Callithrix jacchus: one gene and its partners. The protein of the gene in region 2 purifies or fractionates together with the protein of the main gene of each other region. This does not show direct contact. Links are inferred from orthologs where the notes say so. Each region holds a gene or a part of one and is shown on either strand. Other genes may lie near its edges.

The links.
Region 1: the proteins of AKAP9 (region 2) and CDK5RAP2 purify together in Homo sapiens (affinity purification with western blotting; 4 studies listed by BioGRID and IntAct, with this or other methods). This does not show direct contact. The link is inferred for Callithrix jacchus from reciprocal best matches to the Homo sapiens genes AKAP9 and CDK5RAP2.
Region 3: the proteins of AKAP9 (region 2) and CSNK1D purify together in Homo sapiens (affinity purification with mass spectrometry; 4 studies listed by BioGRID and IntAct, counting the BioPlex papers as one, with this or other methods). This does not show direct contact. The link is inferred for Callithrix jacchus from reciprocal best matches to the Homo sapiens genes AKAP9 and CSNK1D.
Region 4: the proteins of AKAP9 (region 2) and PRKAR2A purify together in Homo sapiens (affinity purification with western blotting; 3 studies listed by BioGRID, with this or other methods). This does not show direct contact. The link is inferred for Callithrix jacchus from reciprocal best matches to the Homo sapiens genes AKAP9 and PRKAR2A.
Region 5: the proteins of AKAP9 (region 2) and PRKACA purify together in Homo sapiens (affinity purification with mass spectrometry; 7 studies listed by BioGRID and IntAct, with this or other methods). This does not show direct contact. The link is inferred for Callithrix jacchus from reciprocal best matches to the Homo sapiens genes AKAP9 and PRKACA.

What each region holds. Positions count from the first base shown.
Region 1 is NC_133502.1:168,803,392-168,806,909, forward strand, and holds part of CDK5RAP2 (CDK5 regulatory subunit-associated protein 2), read right to left. Parts: intron 2,205-3,518; coding exon 2,088-2,204; intron 16-2,087; coding exon 1-15. UniProt on the Homo sapiens protein: Potential regulator of CDK5 activity via its interaction with CDK5R1. Negative regulator of centriole disengagement (licensing) which maintains centriole engagement and cohesion. Involved in regulation of mitotic spindle orientation.
Region 2 is NC_133512.1:57,509,237-57,512,001, forward strand, and holds the end of AKAP9 (A-kinase anchor protein 9), read right to left. Parts: intron 2,762-2,765; coding exon 2,622-2,761; intron 1,061-2,621; coding exon 1,023-1,060; 3' UTR 507-1,022; downstream 1-506. UniProt on the Homo sapiens protein: Scaffolding protein that assembles several protein kinases and phosphatases on the centrosome and Golgi apparatus. Required to maintain the integrity of the Golgi apparatus. Required for microtubule nucleation at the cis-side of the Golgi apparatus.
Region 3 is NC_133506.1:137,884,431-137,887,948, forward strand, and holds part of CSNK1D (casein kinase I), read right to left. Parts: intron 2,305-3,518; coding exon 2,133-2,304; intron 1,763-2,132; coding exon 1,623-1,762; intron 1-1,622. UniProt on the Homo sapiens protein: Essential serine/threonine-protein kinase that regulates diverse cellular growth and survival processes including Wnt signaling, DNA repair and circadian rhythms. It can phosphorylate a large number of proteins.
Region 4 is NC_133516.1:31,404,878-31,408,395, forward strand, and holds part of PRKAR2A (cAMP-dependent protein kinase type II-alpha regulatory subunit), read right to left. Parts: intron 239-3,518; coding exon 85-238; intron 1-84. UniProt on the Homo sapiens protein: Regulatory subunit of the cAMP-dependent protein kinases involved in cAMP signaling in cells. Type II regulatory chains mediate membrane association by binding to anchoring proteins, including the MAP2 kinase.
Region 5 is NC_133523.1:12,894,400-12,898,454, forward strand, and holds the start of PRKACA (cAMP-dependent protein kinase catalytic subunit alpha), read right to left. Parts: upstream 2,815-4,055; 5' UTR 2,615-2,814; coding exon 2,569-2,614; intron 1-2,568.

The DNA of each region.
Region 1 (3,518 bases), on a different chromosome or scaffold from region 2:
TCTCCTTCTGTTTATCTGCAAACACAAAAAGGCGCCACTGAGAAGGGCCACCATTTGTTTTTTCCAACCTTATTATATAAATACAGCACTTCAAGAATACAAAAAAGAATGAGATTCGATGTGGCATTTATGATTTTGGCATTCCAATTGTCTTACACACTTTGGGCAGATAAATTTGTCAACATCAAGGCTGCAGATTAAACGTCACTGGGATAAAATGGGTCTGTTTAATTTTCTATTAAACAACAGGCCATGTAAACCTAGTTATTTTGCCTTCACAGAGCAGCAGGTAGAAAGTACAGACAGAGGAAAACACAGGGCCCAGAACTCTGGGAATGGGTGTTGGACTGGCCACAGGCCTTCTACCAACCTAGCCCCAGGAGGCCAGCAGGGCTGTACAGATGGTACCTTGAGGCCCATTCACTCCTGAGGCTGAGGACAGCACCTCTCCTGAGGAATGAAATACACCCAGAGGTACAAGAGACACCGTGGTCAAGAGCACAGTGCTTGAGGCAGAGAGGCCATATTCAAGAGCGGCTTCTCCATTTCCTGACTTCATAACCTTGAGTGAGGAGGCTCTTCACTTCTCCATATGTGTTATTACGGGGATTAACTGAGCTACCAGCTATAAAATGTGTTTCCTCACAGGTGTTATTGTGTGGATTAACTGGTTGCCATCTATAAAAGGTTTACCACAGGTCTTCAGGAGCACTCTGGGGGCTGGAAGCTCCATCAGGCTCAGTTGCCAGCAGTGCTGGTGGTGGTAACAGCTGAGCTGCACCAGCACTACCTGTGCAGGTATGACATTGGGGCCTTGACATGCAGTGCCCTGGTTAATCTTCAGGGCTGACTTCCAAGGCAGGCACTATTATTTTCTGCTTTCCAGATAAGAAACTTCCTTAAGGTCACACGGCCAGTAGGTGGCAGAGCCAGAATTCGGACTCAGGTTTTCTGACTCCATTCTTAACCATGACAAGATAATTTCTAAGCAAGCATTCACCTCTCCCCTCAAGCTCCAGACACGTCATGCTTCCTTCACTTCCCGAAAGGCCTGGTCTCTCTTCATTGCTAACCACCGGGCCTTTGTCTGCTCTCTTCCTTCTATTTAAAGGGCCCTGGCTCCTCTCAATCTTTGGCACCTTCACTAAGCCCTCCTCGACTCCGTTCTCAAGGCAAGCTTTTCCTGAGTCAGGATGCCTTCTCTAGGGTCCTGCAGTTCCCATAGTCTGACTTTATCATGGCAGCGGTTCACACTGGCCTGCCATGATTGTCTGGCTGTCTCTTCCATCCGATTATGAGCTCACTGAAGGAAGGGATGAAATCTCTTTCATTTCTGTATCAGAGTCTACATGGCCCTGAAGTAGAACAGGAGATAGGAAATGTCTGCTGAGTGAATGACTGACTGACTGAAGCCCCAATTTCATCTCTTAAGCCAAAAGGAACATCAATATCCTTTTAGGAAAAGTGGAATAAGCTGGCTCAAGTTCTAGCTGTACCACCTTCTAGCTCTGTGACCACAGGCCGGGCAATTCTCTAAGCCTGTTTCTTACCTGTCAAATAGGGCTAATGATACATTATCCCAGAATTGTTTTCAATAGTGAAAGATAATGTAAGTGAAAGCTTTTTAGGAGCCAAGCTCCAAATAGAAGGAAGTAAGATAATGGATCTTTATAAAAAGTATAGGATAAATCTTGCTGATAGCAGGAATTCTCTTGTGGAGATTTTGGCAGTATTGTGTTTCCAGCCCTTCTTTCCCCCACTGTGAACTAGGAGGAAAGACACGTGGCTATAGAGGGGATGAGTGACAAGCAAATGAAGTAACACACTTACTGAGTCCCTATTAGAGACACTACATCATTCAATTGTCACAACAGCCCTATGAGGTATTCCAGCACCTCTCTGATTCCAGTGTTCTCAGCTACAAAACAGGAACACCTCACAGGGCTACTGTGACAATTAAATGGTGTAAAGCCATCGCAGAGCCACAGAATTCATACTTAGGTTGGTCAGACTCCAATGCCTGCATTCTTTCCATGTCACAGAAGGCTTTGGCATTCCAGGCTTCCAGTGACTCCTTTAATTCTTACCTCTGGATCCTTTAATGAGCATTGCATTGAGGGCCTCGTTCTGCTTCCTCAAGAAATGAATTTCTGATGTTAGAGAACTATGAAGCTCGGAACCAGAAGCAAAAATGTTTGTAGAACCTAAAAAAACACACATGAAGACTGATTTATAAACAGTCTTTAGATCAGCAGAGATGGAACTTTCTAGAAAACAGTTTTAAACAATGAGTTAACACAACATACAATGACAATCGCTTCTGTTAACTATGTAAGAAACTACCAGAGGCCAAAGAGAAATGAGAGTAAGCCTGAAAAAGGGGGCAAGAGGGGCTCCCCCACATCTTACCTAAGGGAGAACAAAGCAGAAGACTTGGACCAGGAGTGGGGTGAGCAAGTGAGAGTCTTCACCTTCACAGATGTCTCTCCCAAGGTCAAAATTTACATATCCAGCTGCCTGCCACACCTCACCACTGAGGCAACTCTGTCACTCAGTCCACAGAGCCAAAGCTGAACTCCTCATCCTTCCAAACCTGCTCTCTCTCACCTGTTTCCTGCCTAATGAGATGGTATCGCCACAATCCCTAACCCAAGCTAGAAAGCTGGGAGCCATCCTAAACCCTTCTCTCTTCCACTGCCCAATCAGGGAATCACAACTGCTGCTGCTTCCTCCAAAATGCTTCCAACACTGACCTACCCTTTTTTCATCCTAAAGTTCAGGCCTTATCACTTTGCTCTCTAACCCTGTCTCCCCGTTATTCTGCCAGTGCTTACAGGTTATTATCCCAAACAAAGTCCATTCAAGTAACTGTCTATTCAGAAACATCTGATGACCCACCATGGCAAAGGACAATCACACAACAAAACGCAAGGGCCATCTTCTTAGTTTAGACACCTCTACTCCACAGATAACATTCAAGTTCACTGCCACCCTCAGGAGAGCACCTACTGTGTGCAAGGTGCCTTCTCTATGTGGCAGGCAGATGCTTCCCTCCATGTCCTCCACACTCATTGGGTCCACTTACTACACCACAGAGCCAAAATGCCAGATTCCTGCTTTCCTAGCCACCCTGCATTGAGGACACGGTCATGTGCCACTTCTGGCCAATGAGGCCTGACAGGAAGTCTGCCGGGGTCTTCTGGGAAAGATTTTCCACCAGCATGAAAAGAGGACAGGAAGGGGCCCCACCTTCTTCTTTCCCATGCTTTGGACACCGTCTAAGAGACTGGGATGATTGTAACTACTGCAGTCATCACAGATAGTAACCCAAACTCTGCTGTCACTGAGCCATAAACCTACCTTGGAACTACCTGCCTCTGGGTTTCTTGTTAGGTGAGAAAACACAATCCCTGTTGTTACCGTCAGTTGCTACTCTCATTCTGTTGCTTGCAGCTGAAAGCATCCTGGCACACAACTGAACACCTATCCTATTCAAACTCGTTGCAGGGGAGGAACGA
Region 2 (2,765 bases):
ATCAAATAATAAGACAAAATCCTCCAGATATAAGCACCAAATACTAGTCCTCTTGCTGTTTTGTGAGTTGACATGTTACCGGGGAGGACTCCAGATGAGAAATAACATTGGAATTTGTATTATCTCTGTGAGAGCCTCCCAATCGTAATTTGGCTTGGACAACAGGGATACTGTTTAATTCTGCTGCAATGTGATTAAGATCTTTCGAGTTTGATTTCTTCATCTTTTTAGTGGCCATTGATTTATGAGAACACATCTTTGGATACAAGTAACACTAACTGTAATATAGTAAATAATGATTAATCATGAAATACCAATATAGCTTTTAAAAAACACTATGTAGATGTAAAGTTGACACAAAAGCACATGGAAAACTTTAAACAGTATTAACTCTAAGATTAGGACAACTTTCTCTGAATCTCTCACTCCTGTGTATTTGACATAATGAGATGCTATATACCAAGAACTATGGCTCAGTTAAAAATGAAGAAGGTTCAAATACAGTGTGGTGAAAATGGTGAAGTCATTTTTATTTCAGTACTTGACAAAATACCCCATAAAATTCAAAACTTCTATCGTTATACAAAAATAGGTCTCTACAAGTGATATTATCTGTCTTCATCACCAGTAGAATATATTAGGCAGAAACATGTAACTTCAGTAGCCTTATAAGAAAAGTGCAGGACACCTCAAGCTACACATTCAGCAGTAATGTAATGTGTGAAAGTTTAATCTTTTCTTCACCCATTTGATAAATACACAAGGTTTATAATTTAATGTTTTAAATTAGCATTCCACAAATATACAGGTAATTCAATGATTATTGTGCATGAATACATACACAATGCTTATATATACAAATTCCAGTTTGTTTTCATGTGTTGGCAAGGGATTTGTATACAATCATAAGCTGTGTTGATATTGGTCCCATCGAATATTCACAATACAAAAGCACAAAAGAACCACTGATTTATAAAAGGAAATCTGTTTTAAATCACTTCAATTAATGATGTTTCAAAAGATTATCTTCTAATGCCAACATGAAAGTGAGTAGTTGAACCTATGAGAGAAAAACAGGAAATTCAAATTATTTCAAATTACAGTACTATTTGTGTCAGACCCACTAGAGTTCACACAAAGGGGATTACTATTATTCTCAATTTTTTTAAAGCCTTTTTTTCCCTTAAAATGTCTTCTTCATACTTAAACGGATTTCACCTGCCCCCCTACCCACAAATGGAGTCTTGGCTCTGTTGCCCAAGCTGGAATGCAGTGGTGTGATCTCGGCTCACTGCAACCTCTGCCTCCTGGGTTCAAGGGATTCTCCTGCCTCGCCTTTCTGAGTAGCTGGGATTACAGGCACATACCACCATGCCTGGCTAAGTTTTGTATTTTTTGTAGAGATAGGGTTTCACTGTGTTGGCCAGGCTGTTCTCGAACTGGCTGGTCTCAACTCCTGACCTTGTGATCTGCCCGCCTCAGCATTCCTGCCGCCCCCAGCCCATAAACTTAAACTGATTTTGAAGATAATTTGAATATATATTTAAAAATCACCATGACTGGGCTCTATAGCAAAATAGGTGAGACCAATGATTAGAGTTTCTTTAAAGTGCTCTCAAAGTTGAATGTTCTATACCTCATATATTTTTGAAAGTCTTTTGGTCTTCAAAATCCACATTTTGTGAAATTTGGGTGCTCAAAACAAGCCAAGGCAAACCAACAAAGAAACCTCAGCTATGATAATAAAAGTTTCCTACTACTACAAGTTGCTTGGGTTAAATGATTTCTTGAAGAGATACACTACTAAGTTAAAATAATATGTTATCAACCAATAGTTTATGAGACTAGTAGGAAAAAAGTGTCTTTAATAAAAGTAAAAGCAAAATATAAAAGTTGACTTAGAGCACAATCACTTAAACTAAAATGATTCAAAGTCTCTGAATGAGGAGTGAAGTGAAGTGAGATAGGGAAAAGAGGTTTTCCTTCCGGGAACAGGGTCCACCTTTATTTTAAAGTGTTCTTCGGTTTTGAACAAAGAAAAATAAAAGAATCTTTACAAAGTGTTTTAAATGGAATAGTTTTTTGGATGATACATAAAAGCACAATGTAGTAGCATGGATGATGGTTACATTAAGTGCTTCAGCAAGTGCTTCCTCCTTAACTCCACCTGATTCACATGCCTTACTGCTTTCTTTTTTTTTCTTCTTTGAGACAGGGTCTCGCTCTCCTACCCAGGCTGGAGTGCTGTGGTACGGCCTTACCACTTTCCACCATGCATTACTTAGGAACACGTTCTCCAATCAGGCTGTGTAGACTCAGAGAACCTTGCACATTGGTGCTTATCATGCATTTTGTGTCATCAATCCACTGAATAAAGATAGTAGGAAATCATGTCTGGGAGGAGTGGTATATGGGGTAATAAATCATATCTTCACTTAAATTATTTAAAGTCAATTTCTCTCTGCTGGTTACAAGAGTTTAAGCTTTGGCTAACTTGATAGCTCATGCATTAAAGTGGAAGCTTTGATTATCCTAATGATGAGTGTGAAGGAGTTTTAAAGAAAGGATAGCTGTGGGTCTAGCACTGTGGTGCTGCCAAGGTGTTGTTAAACTTAGAGCACCTGACTGTACAGTTCCAAGTCGTCTTTGCAGTGCCTCTAGCCGAGTGATATAATCTGTTAGGGCTCTGTCAGGATCATAATTCTGAAGCTGAGAACATGCTAAAGAACCAGGATTGAAATCAGCTGGAATGCCTGGGTACCTAA
Region 3 (3,518 bases), on a different chromosome or scaffold from region 2:
GTTCAGGGGCTACAGAACCACCATGTGTCAAGAAAACAGGTGGGCACGGGCAGACCCTCCTGGGGCCTGCTCCCAGTAATTGAGGTGTGAGTGCCAGGCTCGTGGGAAGAAACCTGTTAAACCATTTCTGTGTCTGGAGGTGAGACCAGGGCTGTGTGCATGTAAGGGACCACTCTCTTGATGCAGGCCGGACCCCTCATGCCCAATGCAAATAACTACAAAGTCAAAATCTCTGCATCTTTGGTTTCTTTGAGAGAATGTTACCATATAAGAAATCCATTTCTAGTTAAGTTACTAGTGAATTAGAAACGTGCAATAAACTCACTTTTTTTTTTTGAGGCAGAATCTTACTCTGTCGGCCAGGCTGAAGTGCAGTGGCACGATCTCAGCTCACTACAATCTCTGATTCCTGGGTTCAAGTGACTCTCCTGTCTCAGCCTCCCAAGTAAGCAAGGATTACAGGTGCCTGCCACCACACCCAGCTAGTTTTTCAAAAAAATTTTTTTTCCAGTGAAGATGGGGTTTCATCATCTTGGTCAGGCTGGTCTTGAACTCCTGACCTCATGATCCACCTGCCTCGGTCTCCCAAAGTGTTGGAATTACAGGCGTGAGCCACCATGCCCGGCCTAAACTCACTTATTAAAAGATAGCAAGTGGCCAAGAGTGCTCCCCACACCGGCGCTTTCCTGGCTAGCCAGCTACACCAAGCCCTGCTCACGACAGTGGGCCTGGCTCCATCCTGTGACCCCAAGAGACACTGCCCCACAAGCCCACAGCCAGACTCTAGGACGTTTCTGAACTGAGTTCCTGCTCATCCAGAAGACCTGTGGGGAATCTGGGTACCCCGAGGATTCCTGCTAGTGAAACACAGCCATGACAGGGCAACCCTGCCCCTGTTGGTGAACAACCCAGAACACTCTGAAGAAACACAACAGATTCATAGGTAGAAAGCTGTTCTGGTTCGAAGAGCACATTAGTAAACGCAAAAGACAACAAGCCAGAGCGAGGAGAGGAGAAGAGAGGCTGCTGGAGGAGGATGCTGACGAGGCGGCACCTGTGGCCAACCCGGGCTGCCTGCCTTTGCTGCGAAGCAGGGGTGCTTCTTATCTGAAGGAAGACAGACAAGGCCGTCAAAAGAATGGAAGCCTCGCTGCAGGGCACACTAGCAGAGAGGGTCTTATGAGGAGCCTGTGGAGGTCCCTACAGGCCTCCAACCCTGGCCAGTGGCAAGAATGAGGAAGGTTCTTGGGCCAGGGCACTCACCAATGCACCCCGGATGAGGCGTGAGCAGGCGAGTGCTGCTGCCTGCGTGGGGATAGCTGGGGCGGCAGGGCACTCAAATGGCAGGAGAAAACCCCCACGGTCTGCTGGCCTCGGGCACCTGAGACCTGAGACTGGCCATCTGTGACCAGAAGACGAGCCCTGTGATGGCCCGGCCTGTCTCCCAGGCTCTCCCCAGAAGCCTCATCAGCAACCAGGCCACCACGCCTCAGCGAGATTAAAAACTCTCAAAAATGGGGGAAAAAAGGAAGGAAGGAAACACGCCCTTCAGAAATCACAGCCTGCTCTGGACTTGGATGGCACAGTCAAGGCCGGTGCCCACCCAGGAGCTCTGCACCTACCTGTGAGGTGGACATGCGAGAGGTATCTTGTCGGCCCGTGAGGTCGGAAGAGGAGATGTTGACGGGCGCCCCGCGGTGCAGCCGCATACTCACTTTCCGCTCTCTCTCCATGCCAGAGACGGGCCGGGGGGAGGTGTTAGCTGAGAGAGGAAGAGAAATGGAGTGGGCTGCCCCTGGCTGCTGCTTGCCACTCAGGGCTTTCTTCCTGTGAGAGGCTGTGGCCGGAGAGGACCCTGGGCTGCCTGGACAGTCAGGAGCCGGCAGAGCTGATGGCCACCAACACTCAAATCCAGCCGGAGGAACAAAGGAGAAACATGGGATACGGGAGGAATCACACACACCAGCAGGTGCCTGCATTTCTAAAGGCGCCCAGGCAGCCCGGCTCATCCACTCTCAGGAGTAAGCATCACCTGACGTGGGAAATTCACAGTGTCCACCACCAAGTGCATTGCCCCCACCAACCCTGAGACACAGGAAGCCGTCCCAGAGTGCTGGGAGGGGGGCACTCACCTGTGTGTGAGGTAGGGGTAAGGGGTGTGGGGGGAGCCACTTCCTGCGTCCCCCGAAGGCGGCCAGAGGCTGTGGAAGGGAGGCCGCGGGTGGCCGGGTTCCGCGAGTGTCTCAGCCGCTCCTCTCGGTCCCTGCGCTCCCGCTCAGCGTCGTCGGCAGCCCGGCTGGCACCCTGAGGAGGAAGGAGGTGAGGCCGGGATGGAACCGGATTTGGCAGAAAGCAACCCCAGGTTCTGGGCTGCCCCAGCCATGTGAGTAAATACCTACCAAAGGGCACTGGGGCTCAAGACTGGCTGCGAAGCCGCCCGCATACTGCACAACGTTTCTCTCCATGGGATGCCAGTGCCATCCCAGAAAGGGGTCAGAGCCAGGCCTCTAAGCTCCCCCAACAATTGAAAAAACCCCACTCGCCACAGCACTTCCCTGGGGGATCAGAACTTCCTTAAACTTCAAAATGGGCAGCAGCTGGGCTGCCTGCTCCTCTGTGAACATCCTCACTGACACGTGCAGGGAAAGGAGCGGAACAGGAACCACTGGAGGCCAGAGACAGGCCCCAAATGGTGACAGCTGGGGAGGAAAGTGGGGCGGGGATGAGAGCGTTTGGTCAGATAAGGAGTCCACTCAGGGTCCAGACCCTGCGGCCCCCAACAGTCTGCATAGGTGTGGAGGTGAGGCCGGCAGCAGGTCTGTGCTGCACCATCCAGATGCATGGGGGTGGGGAGATCAGCTTTTAAGCCAAGACAGCAGCCTACGAAAGAGTAGATTCTAACTGCCAATGCTGTGCAGCAGGGGCCTGCAAACTACTGCCCCAGACCCAAACCCAGCTACCACCTTTTCCTGCAAATAAAGCTCACTGGACACAGCCACGTCCACTGGACTACACACAGCCCAGCCTGCTCTGAGGGCCAGGGGACTCCAACACAGCAGGAGGGTGGCTCTGACACCTCCCGAGGCAGCACAGCCCTGCCAGAGGACTGACCCGCCCTACAGAGCCCACCCCACCCAGCACCTGGAGGTGCTGAGGCCCGGACCAGGACACCCCCGCCCCGCCTCGACCCTGCACCACCATCGGACATGGCTGCCATTTTTGTATCCTCCCAAGAAGCAGTTCTGCTACTTCATTAGACTGTCACCTGCAAAAGCGCCAACCTTTTCTATTCAAAACTGATAACTAAACAGTTTTTAATGAAAGAACACAACAGTTACAGAGGAGCTTCAATTCTGGCAGTGGCATCTGAATAATTAAGCTCAGACAGTGAACCCAAGGCTGGGCTGCTCCAGGGCATTCTCACACCCACACCCAGAAAGCCACAGGCAAAACCAGCTCATGACAGGGTCAGGCTGGACCAGCTGCACCTCACTAGGCCCCAACCCCACTCATCTGGT
Region 4 (3,518 bases), on a different chromosome or scaffold from region 2:
AGTGTAAATCAAGAGCCCTAGGACAGAGACCCAGAAGGGCAATTAATACTGTGCCTTCCAAGGTGAAAAATGTCTTTCACTTACCAGTCCCCAAAGGGAGCCTTCTGAGGTAGCAACAATGGTAGCAGCTCTCGGGGTGTTGTACATCAGAGCTAGTTCTCCAAAACTGCCACGGTTGTCATATTGACCAACAGAGCGGGTTTGATTATTTTTTGTTACTAAAATGTCATAAGTTCCCCTAGAAGAGTGATAAAAAATTATTTCATTAGTTACTTGTGATAATAAATGTAAAACTGGCAGGTACATATAATAGAAAATGTTGTTTTAAGAGATTTCCAATGGAACTTTGCTTTCCAATGGAACATATTTTTGTATTTTGACTTTGGGTCCTATAACCTCACTAAACTCACTTATTAATTCTAGTAGCCTTTTTTGTGGCATTCTTGGAATATTCTACATAGAGATCATGTCACCTGAAAAAAAGACAACTTTAATACTTCCTTTCCAATCTATATGCCCCTTTCTTTCTTTTTTCCCCCCATCTTTAACTTAAAAAAAAAATTTTTTTTTAGACAGGGTCTTGTTCTGACACCTAGGCTGCAGTGCAGTGGCACAATCATGGCTCACTGCAGCCTCTACCTCCTGGCCCCAAGCAATTCTCTCAGCTGAGAATCCTGAGTAGTTATGACCACAGAGGTGTGCCACCACATCTAACTTTATTTTTATTTTTGTAGAGATGGGGATGGTCTCACTATGTTGCCCAAACTGGTCTGGAACTCCTGGGCTCAAGCAATTCTCCTCTCTCAGTCTCTCAAAGTACTGGGATTAAAGGCATAAGCCACTATGCCCAGCCTAAATTTTTTTTAATTAATACATATATTTTACATATTTATGGAGTACATGTGAGTGTCTGTTCCATGCACAGAATGGGTAATTATTAAGCCAGGGTATTTGGGGTATCCATCACCTTGGATATATGTCATTTCTGTGTCACTATCATTTCATGTCCTCTCTTCTATTAATATTTACTGTGAAATACGCAAAATATTGCCACCAAGTATAGTCACCTTATCATGCTATAAAACATTAGAACTTGTGAAGTTCTGTAATCTCAGCACTTTAGGAAGCTGAACTGAGAGAACTGCTTGAGCCCAGGAGTTTGAGATACACCTGGCCAACATATGAAGACTTGTCTCCACAAAAAGGAAAATTAAAGATAAGAAAGACATATTAAAACATATTTCTTCTAACTTTGTGTTTGTAGCCAATAGCCAACTTCTCTTCATCCACCCACCACCCTTCTCAATTTCTGGTATAAATCACTCTATTCTCTATGTCTATCATATCAGTGTTTTTAGCAGTCACATGTGACTGAGAACATGTGGTATTTGTCTTCCTGTGCCTAGCTTATTTAACTTAATGTAGCAACCTCCATGTTGCTACAAATGACATGACTTCCTTTTTTTTTAACGGTCAAATAGTACTTCATTGTGGATCTAAGCCACATTTTCTTTCTTCCTTCTCATCCTCTCTTCCTTACTGAATTGACTATATAACCTCCAGTACAATATTAAGTGAAAGTGGTGAAAGCAAACATCCTTGCCTTATTCTGAGTTGTAAGGAAAAACAATCTTTCACCATGCTGTAGGTTTTTAAAAAATGCCTTTAGTCTGGTTGGGGAAAGTTATTTTTGTTGCTAATTTGCTGAGCATTTTCATCACAAAAAGATGGTGAGTTTTGTCAAATATTTTGCTGTAGGTATTGAAACAAGTGCATGGGTTTGCTTTCATAGTCTGTACAAAATTAGGATACAACTGATTAAAATAAAGCAAATGATACAATTATTTAACTACTGATTGGCAATAATTGCTTAAAAAAAAAAATCAGAACTGACAAGCATTTGTAGAAATAGGGACTCTCAACATACCACTGAAGGAAACATAAACTTTTCAAAGTTTCTGAAAGATAATTAAACATATAGGAAATTCCTTAAAAAGATCCTTTGATACAGTAATTCCATTTCTAGTCATCCCAAAAGAGATAATCAAAGACACTACAAAAGATTTAATTGCAGAGATTTCATCAGGTAATATTTATAATAGCAAAAACTACAAGTAATTTAATCTGCTAATAATAGGAGATGAATCAAATACATGTTTCCATCCATATTATGGAGTCACTGAAAGTAATGACAGAATATGGCTGGGTGCGGTGGCTCACAGCTGTAATCCCAGCACTTTGGGAGGCTAAAGTGGGCAGATAACCTGAGATCAGAGTTCAAGACGAACCTGGCGAACATGGTGAAACGCTGTTTCTACTAAAAATATAAAAATTAGCTGGGTGTGGTGGCACCTGCCTGTAATCCCAGCTACTTGGGAGGCTAAGACAGGAGAATCACTTGAACCTGGGAAGCGGAGGTTGCAGTGAGCCAAGCTCGAGCCACTGTACTCTAGCCTGGGTGGCAGAGTGAGACTCTGTCTCAAAAAACAATAATAATAATATTGATAATAAAGACAAAATAATACTGTAACTCCATAACATGCTTAAAATAGACTTAAAAAATTAAATCACACAATGTATAATTTAATGTAATAAAATTATGTAAAGATAACTCCATTAGGTGACTTCATTTTTGATGTTTGATTGTTGACAGCTTTCAAATCCTTTCTCTTCTGCCCCATATCTGGGAAAGTGATAAGAAAGCCTAGGCACTCCCTCCTTTGGTGCTGATGGGGAGTTCAACCAACACAAATGCCAGCCCATGTGTAAGAGTACCCTCACCTAACCCTACCTTCTAACCACCATAAAATCCCAAGCCAATCATACCTTGCCTGCTATCTGAAGTCATTTTTGGATCTGTCTGGGAGCCTCCCCTGCTCTCTCTAAAAAGGTTCAACATGTAAGTAATAAACCTTTTCATGGCCAGGCGTGGTGGCTCACGCCTGTAACCCCAGCACTTTGGGAGGCCGAGGCGGGTGGATCACGAGGTCAAGAGATCGAGACCATCCTGGTCAACATGGTGAAACCCTGTCTCTACTAAAAATACAAAAAAATTAGTTGGGCATGGTGGCGCGTGCCTGTAATCCCAGTTACTCAGGAAGCTGAGGCAGGAGAATTTCCTGAACCCAGGAGGCGGAGGTTGTGGTGAGCCGAGATCCCGCCATTGCACTCCAGCCTGGGTAACAAGAGTGAAACTCCATCTTGGGAAAAACAAAAAACAAAAACCTTTTCATATCCTTTTAGTGTATATGTAATGTCATCAGTCTTGATATCTCAACCACATTTTGGGTGAGGTGTCTGATTTCAACAGTAAAGCACAGAAGTATAGACTGGTAATTAGATTATGCCTAAATTAATTTTATCCTGTTCTTATATTTTTATATTCTCTACAAAGAACTTCCATCTGTCTATAAAATCACTACACATCACGTATTAAAAGAAAAGCAGAGAATGTGCCACTAACTTGCTCTCAGGGAGCTTACCACTCAGTAGGAAAGCTGACCTGTACTAGGCCTTTA
Region 5 (4,055 bases), on a different chromosome or scaffold from region 2:
AGAAAATATAACTGGTATAGCAAACCCAAGATTTCATTGATATTATTGTTTAGAAAGAGCTCAAAGTTTACATCTGAAAAGAAGTGAGAAAAATTTTTATTATTTTAAATTAAAGAAAATATGATAAAAGTAAAAATCTGGGAGGCAGCTGAAGAATGTCAGAGTTGGGAAATTCTGGGATTCAGGAAGTTTGCTGGTAGATGGATCTGGATGTGAATCCTGCCTCTGTGACATCACCTATGTCATGGATGTCATTTCTTTCTTCCTTTTTTTTTTTGAGACGGAGTCTTGCTCTGTTGCCAAGCTGGAGTGCAGTGGCACGATCTCAGCTCACTGCAACCTCCATCTCCCAGGTTCAAGCGATTCCCCTGCCTCAGCCTCCCGAGTAGCTGGGACTACAGGCGTGCGCCACCACACCCAGCTTATTTTCTTGTATTTTAGTAGAGACGGGGTTTCACCATGACCAAGATGGTCTCGATCTCCTGATCTCATGATTCACCTGCCTCGGCCTCCCAAAGTGCTGGGATTACAGGCATGAGCCACTGTGCTCGGCCCGTCATGGATGTCATTTATATCAGAGGGCTCCTTTGAAAATCTGGATAACAGCCCGTTATGAAAGTCACCAGAGTAGATGTATCTATCCGCCTGGCCATTTGGCCAGTGGTGCAGCCTAGACGCCCAATAAATAGTAGCTCTATTTCAGTGATCATTCATTCCTGGGTGTCTGACCTGTGCCCTGAGAGAATCAGCGGTTCCTTCCAGAGCCTCTGATCTTTTTCCTGGGATCCTTTTCTTTGTGCGGCTTTCCACCCCCGACCACGTGTCTGATAGCCTTGAAGGTTTCACAGGACTGTCATCTCCCCAACTTCCAGTGGAGCCACCGCAATACATTGCTGCCCGCCTCTACCTTCCACCTCCCAGCTGGCCTCACCTGCTGGGGGCCTGGCTCCTCCCCCTCTGCCTAGTCCCCTCCAAGCTCATGCCCGGACCTTTTTTGGACACCACCCACCTGCTCCTCGGTCATCAAGCACTCAGCTATGGGCACTTCCCTCCCCGGCCCCCTCCCATTGGTGACATGTCAGGCCTCTTCATGGTTGCTCTGTGACTCTGAGTTCTGCTATTTGAATCCATATGGGAATAAAGTTCCCTGGCTTTCATCCCTTTCAGGGAGGGGGCATTCCGAGAACTCAGATGCTGGGGTTTGAGACCCAAAATTGGCCTGCCTTTTCAGTTCCGAACTATTTCTGGGTAATCAGACGGGATCCCAGTCCCTTCCAGCTTTCAGACTGGAGTGAGAACAATTTAAGAGCTGGAAGCACTGGGAATGGGTTTTAAGACCATTTCTGAGGGTATTTCCAGATACAGAATCTCCTCTGGCTGGCTGGAAAAGGCCAACAGCATTTGGGGGCAAGTGGGTAAAACAGGTCTCTCCCTGGCTGAGTGCTGGGAATGATCAGAATCTATTTGTTCCTTGGCAAAACAAATCACTAGACGTCACCCATTACTCTCTTTGACCGCCTCCACCTCCCCAGTGCTCTTTCTGACCATCCCAATTCAAAGCGAACGAACCTCGCTAAACCCAGACACTTTTCATCTCAAGCCAGGAGCGGTGGAAGAAGCCCCAGGGACTGGGTGAATGACGAAGCCTCAGTTGGGAAACAACCATTTATTGAGAGGCCCTCCAAGGAGCCTAAGGCTCACTGCAAGGCAGGAACCGCGAGGGGGCTCTGGCACCGCCCCCTACCCCAACGCAGGAAAGACGACGCAATGAATCCCAACAAGACCAGCTCAAACTTGGCTTTGGAAGCACTTAAGCAGTTCTCTAGGTTCATAAACAGTCTGCTACCCAGCCAGGAACAGACGCTTCCTTGGAGGACGGAGCACAAGCAGAGAAGCAGAGTGACAGAGTGACAGGATGAGAGAGACAGAGGGACCCAGAAAGATCCTGTCCCCCATGCCAAGTGACACAGAAGAAAAAAACAGTGCTGGAGGTGGGCCTGGGAAAAGCTCAGGGGGCAGGGTGGGTTTGGAAGGGGGGCCTGTGCTAAGGTGAAGAGGGGAAGGGCAGGAGAAAGATGGCGGGGGCTGGAGGGGGGAGGGGTGTGGTCACCAAGTGGCCAAGGTCCCTGCGCGGTGGAGGCAGAGAGACCCCATCTCATTCCCAAACTGGCAGAAACCTGGGTCGGGGTCAGGCAGAGGATCCCATGGGAGAGGTGAGTGAGGAAGTGGGGGGGATTAGAATCTGGGGAGAGGGGCCAGGAAAGGAGGGGTAGGCTGGTGTCAGGGCCCCGTGTGGGGCCCCAGCGGTCATACGTGCCATGGTTGGCAGTGACAGCTGGGGGGGAGCACGGTCTTTGCAGTGTGGGGCGGCCCTAGAGGAAGGGGACCCCTACAGGGGGTACTCTGCGGGCCCGTGGGCCCCAGCCTTGGACAGGCCGGGGCAAGGGGCGCTGGGGGGTAGGCAGAGAGGAATGGGGGGGCCTCGTGGGGGGAGGGGCCAGGCGGTGATGGACAAGGCCGGGGCTGGCAGCGCAGGGCCGGGATCGGGGTCACGGCCCGGGCACTCACCGCTCTCCTGCTCGCTGCCCTTCTTGGCGGCGGCGGCGTTGCCCATCGCGGCGGCGGCGGCCGGGGCCGGTCCCGGAGCTGCGGCGTTGCGGGTGCTGGCGGCGGCCGGCGGCCCCGGAGCGCGCTGGGCGGCGGCGGCGGCGGCCCTCGGGCTGGCTGCGCTAGCTGCGGCGCCGCGACCCCCGCCCAGCCCCTGCTTCCCGCGTCTCTCCGCGCCCGCCCGCCCGGGAACCTCAGCCCAAGTCCGCTGCTGCCGTCCGTGACGCCCCCGCAGCCCGCCGCTCATTGGCCTAGGACGCCCTGACTGACGGCTCCGCGCCGTCGTCCATTGGTCATCCCTCGGGAAGGCCGCGCCGCTATAGGCTCTCAGCCTCGTGACGTATACCGGGGACTCTCGGCCATTCACACACTCGCGAGGCCGCAGCTGGGCGGGCAGACGAGTCTGATTGGTCAAGAAGCTGGAAAGGGCCCGGGGTCCGCCCCGCGAGGCCACCGATTGGCGGAGGCGCGCTGTCCCGCAAACCCCCAGTAGAACGCTCAGTGTCAATCCGGGGGTGAGAGGGCGGGGCGGAGGCGCAGTCTGCGGGCCCCGGCCGGCTGGGCGGAGCGGCGGAGGCTGGCGGGCGGCCGCGCAGCACTCGGAGGCTCAGGAGGCGGCTCCGGCGGGCTCCCGGCCGGCCCCGCGCACGCCGCAGTCCCCCGCCCCCGCCCAGTGCGGCAGCGGCTGTCGGCCAGCTGGGGTTGGCGCCGCGGCCTGCCCGGCGCAGCCGCTGTCCACCTGCCAGTGGGGGAGGAGAGCGGCCGGCGCGCGGGTCAGAGGTTGCCCGGTCGCCGCCGGCGTCATTCATAAGGCCTGGCGCTGGGCAGTCGTGGTGGCCAGGCCTGCTTGGGGGCCAGGCCGCGGAGGCTCCTGGGTTTTCCCAGCCGCAGGCAGGAGGATGCCGGCCCCGGCGCAAGGGGTGGCTGAGAGGGGGCGCTCCGTGTCCACCCCTTTGCTGGGCCCCAGTCCTGGGCTCCTGCCAGTAGTAAGAGCTGGCACCTACTTAACGCTCCTTCGCACCATACTCCCATCGCGTAGGTGCTACCATCATCACTCCCATTGCACAGATGAAGAATCTGGGGTACAGCCAGGCAGATTCCCTACTCACATTCCCTGTCTGTTTCCTGTCTGGGCAATGCAAAGGGAACCTGCCCCTTCCTTCGGGATTCTCTTTCAGTACGCACCTAGCCAAGGACAGTCTGGGTTTCCCAACTGCGACACTACTGACAGCGGAGGTGGGGCTGGATCATTCTCTGCTGGGGGGTGTCTTGTGCACCACTAGGTGTTAAACAACATCCCCGCCTCTACCCACTGGGTGCTAGTAGCCCCTCCTATTCCTGCTGGCCGTGGCAACCACCGTCTCCCGACGTTGGTGAATGTGCTCTTGCGGGGCAGAACTGCTCCTGATTGAGAAGCACTGATGAGGAGTGCTTTTTACATTATTTTT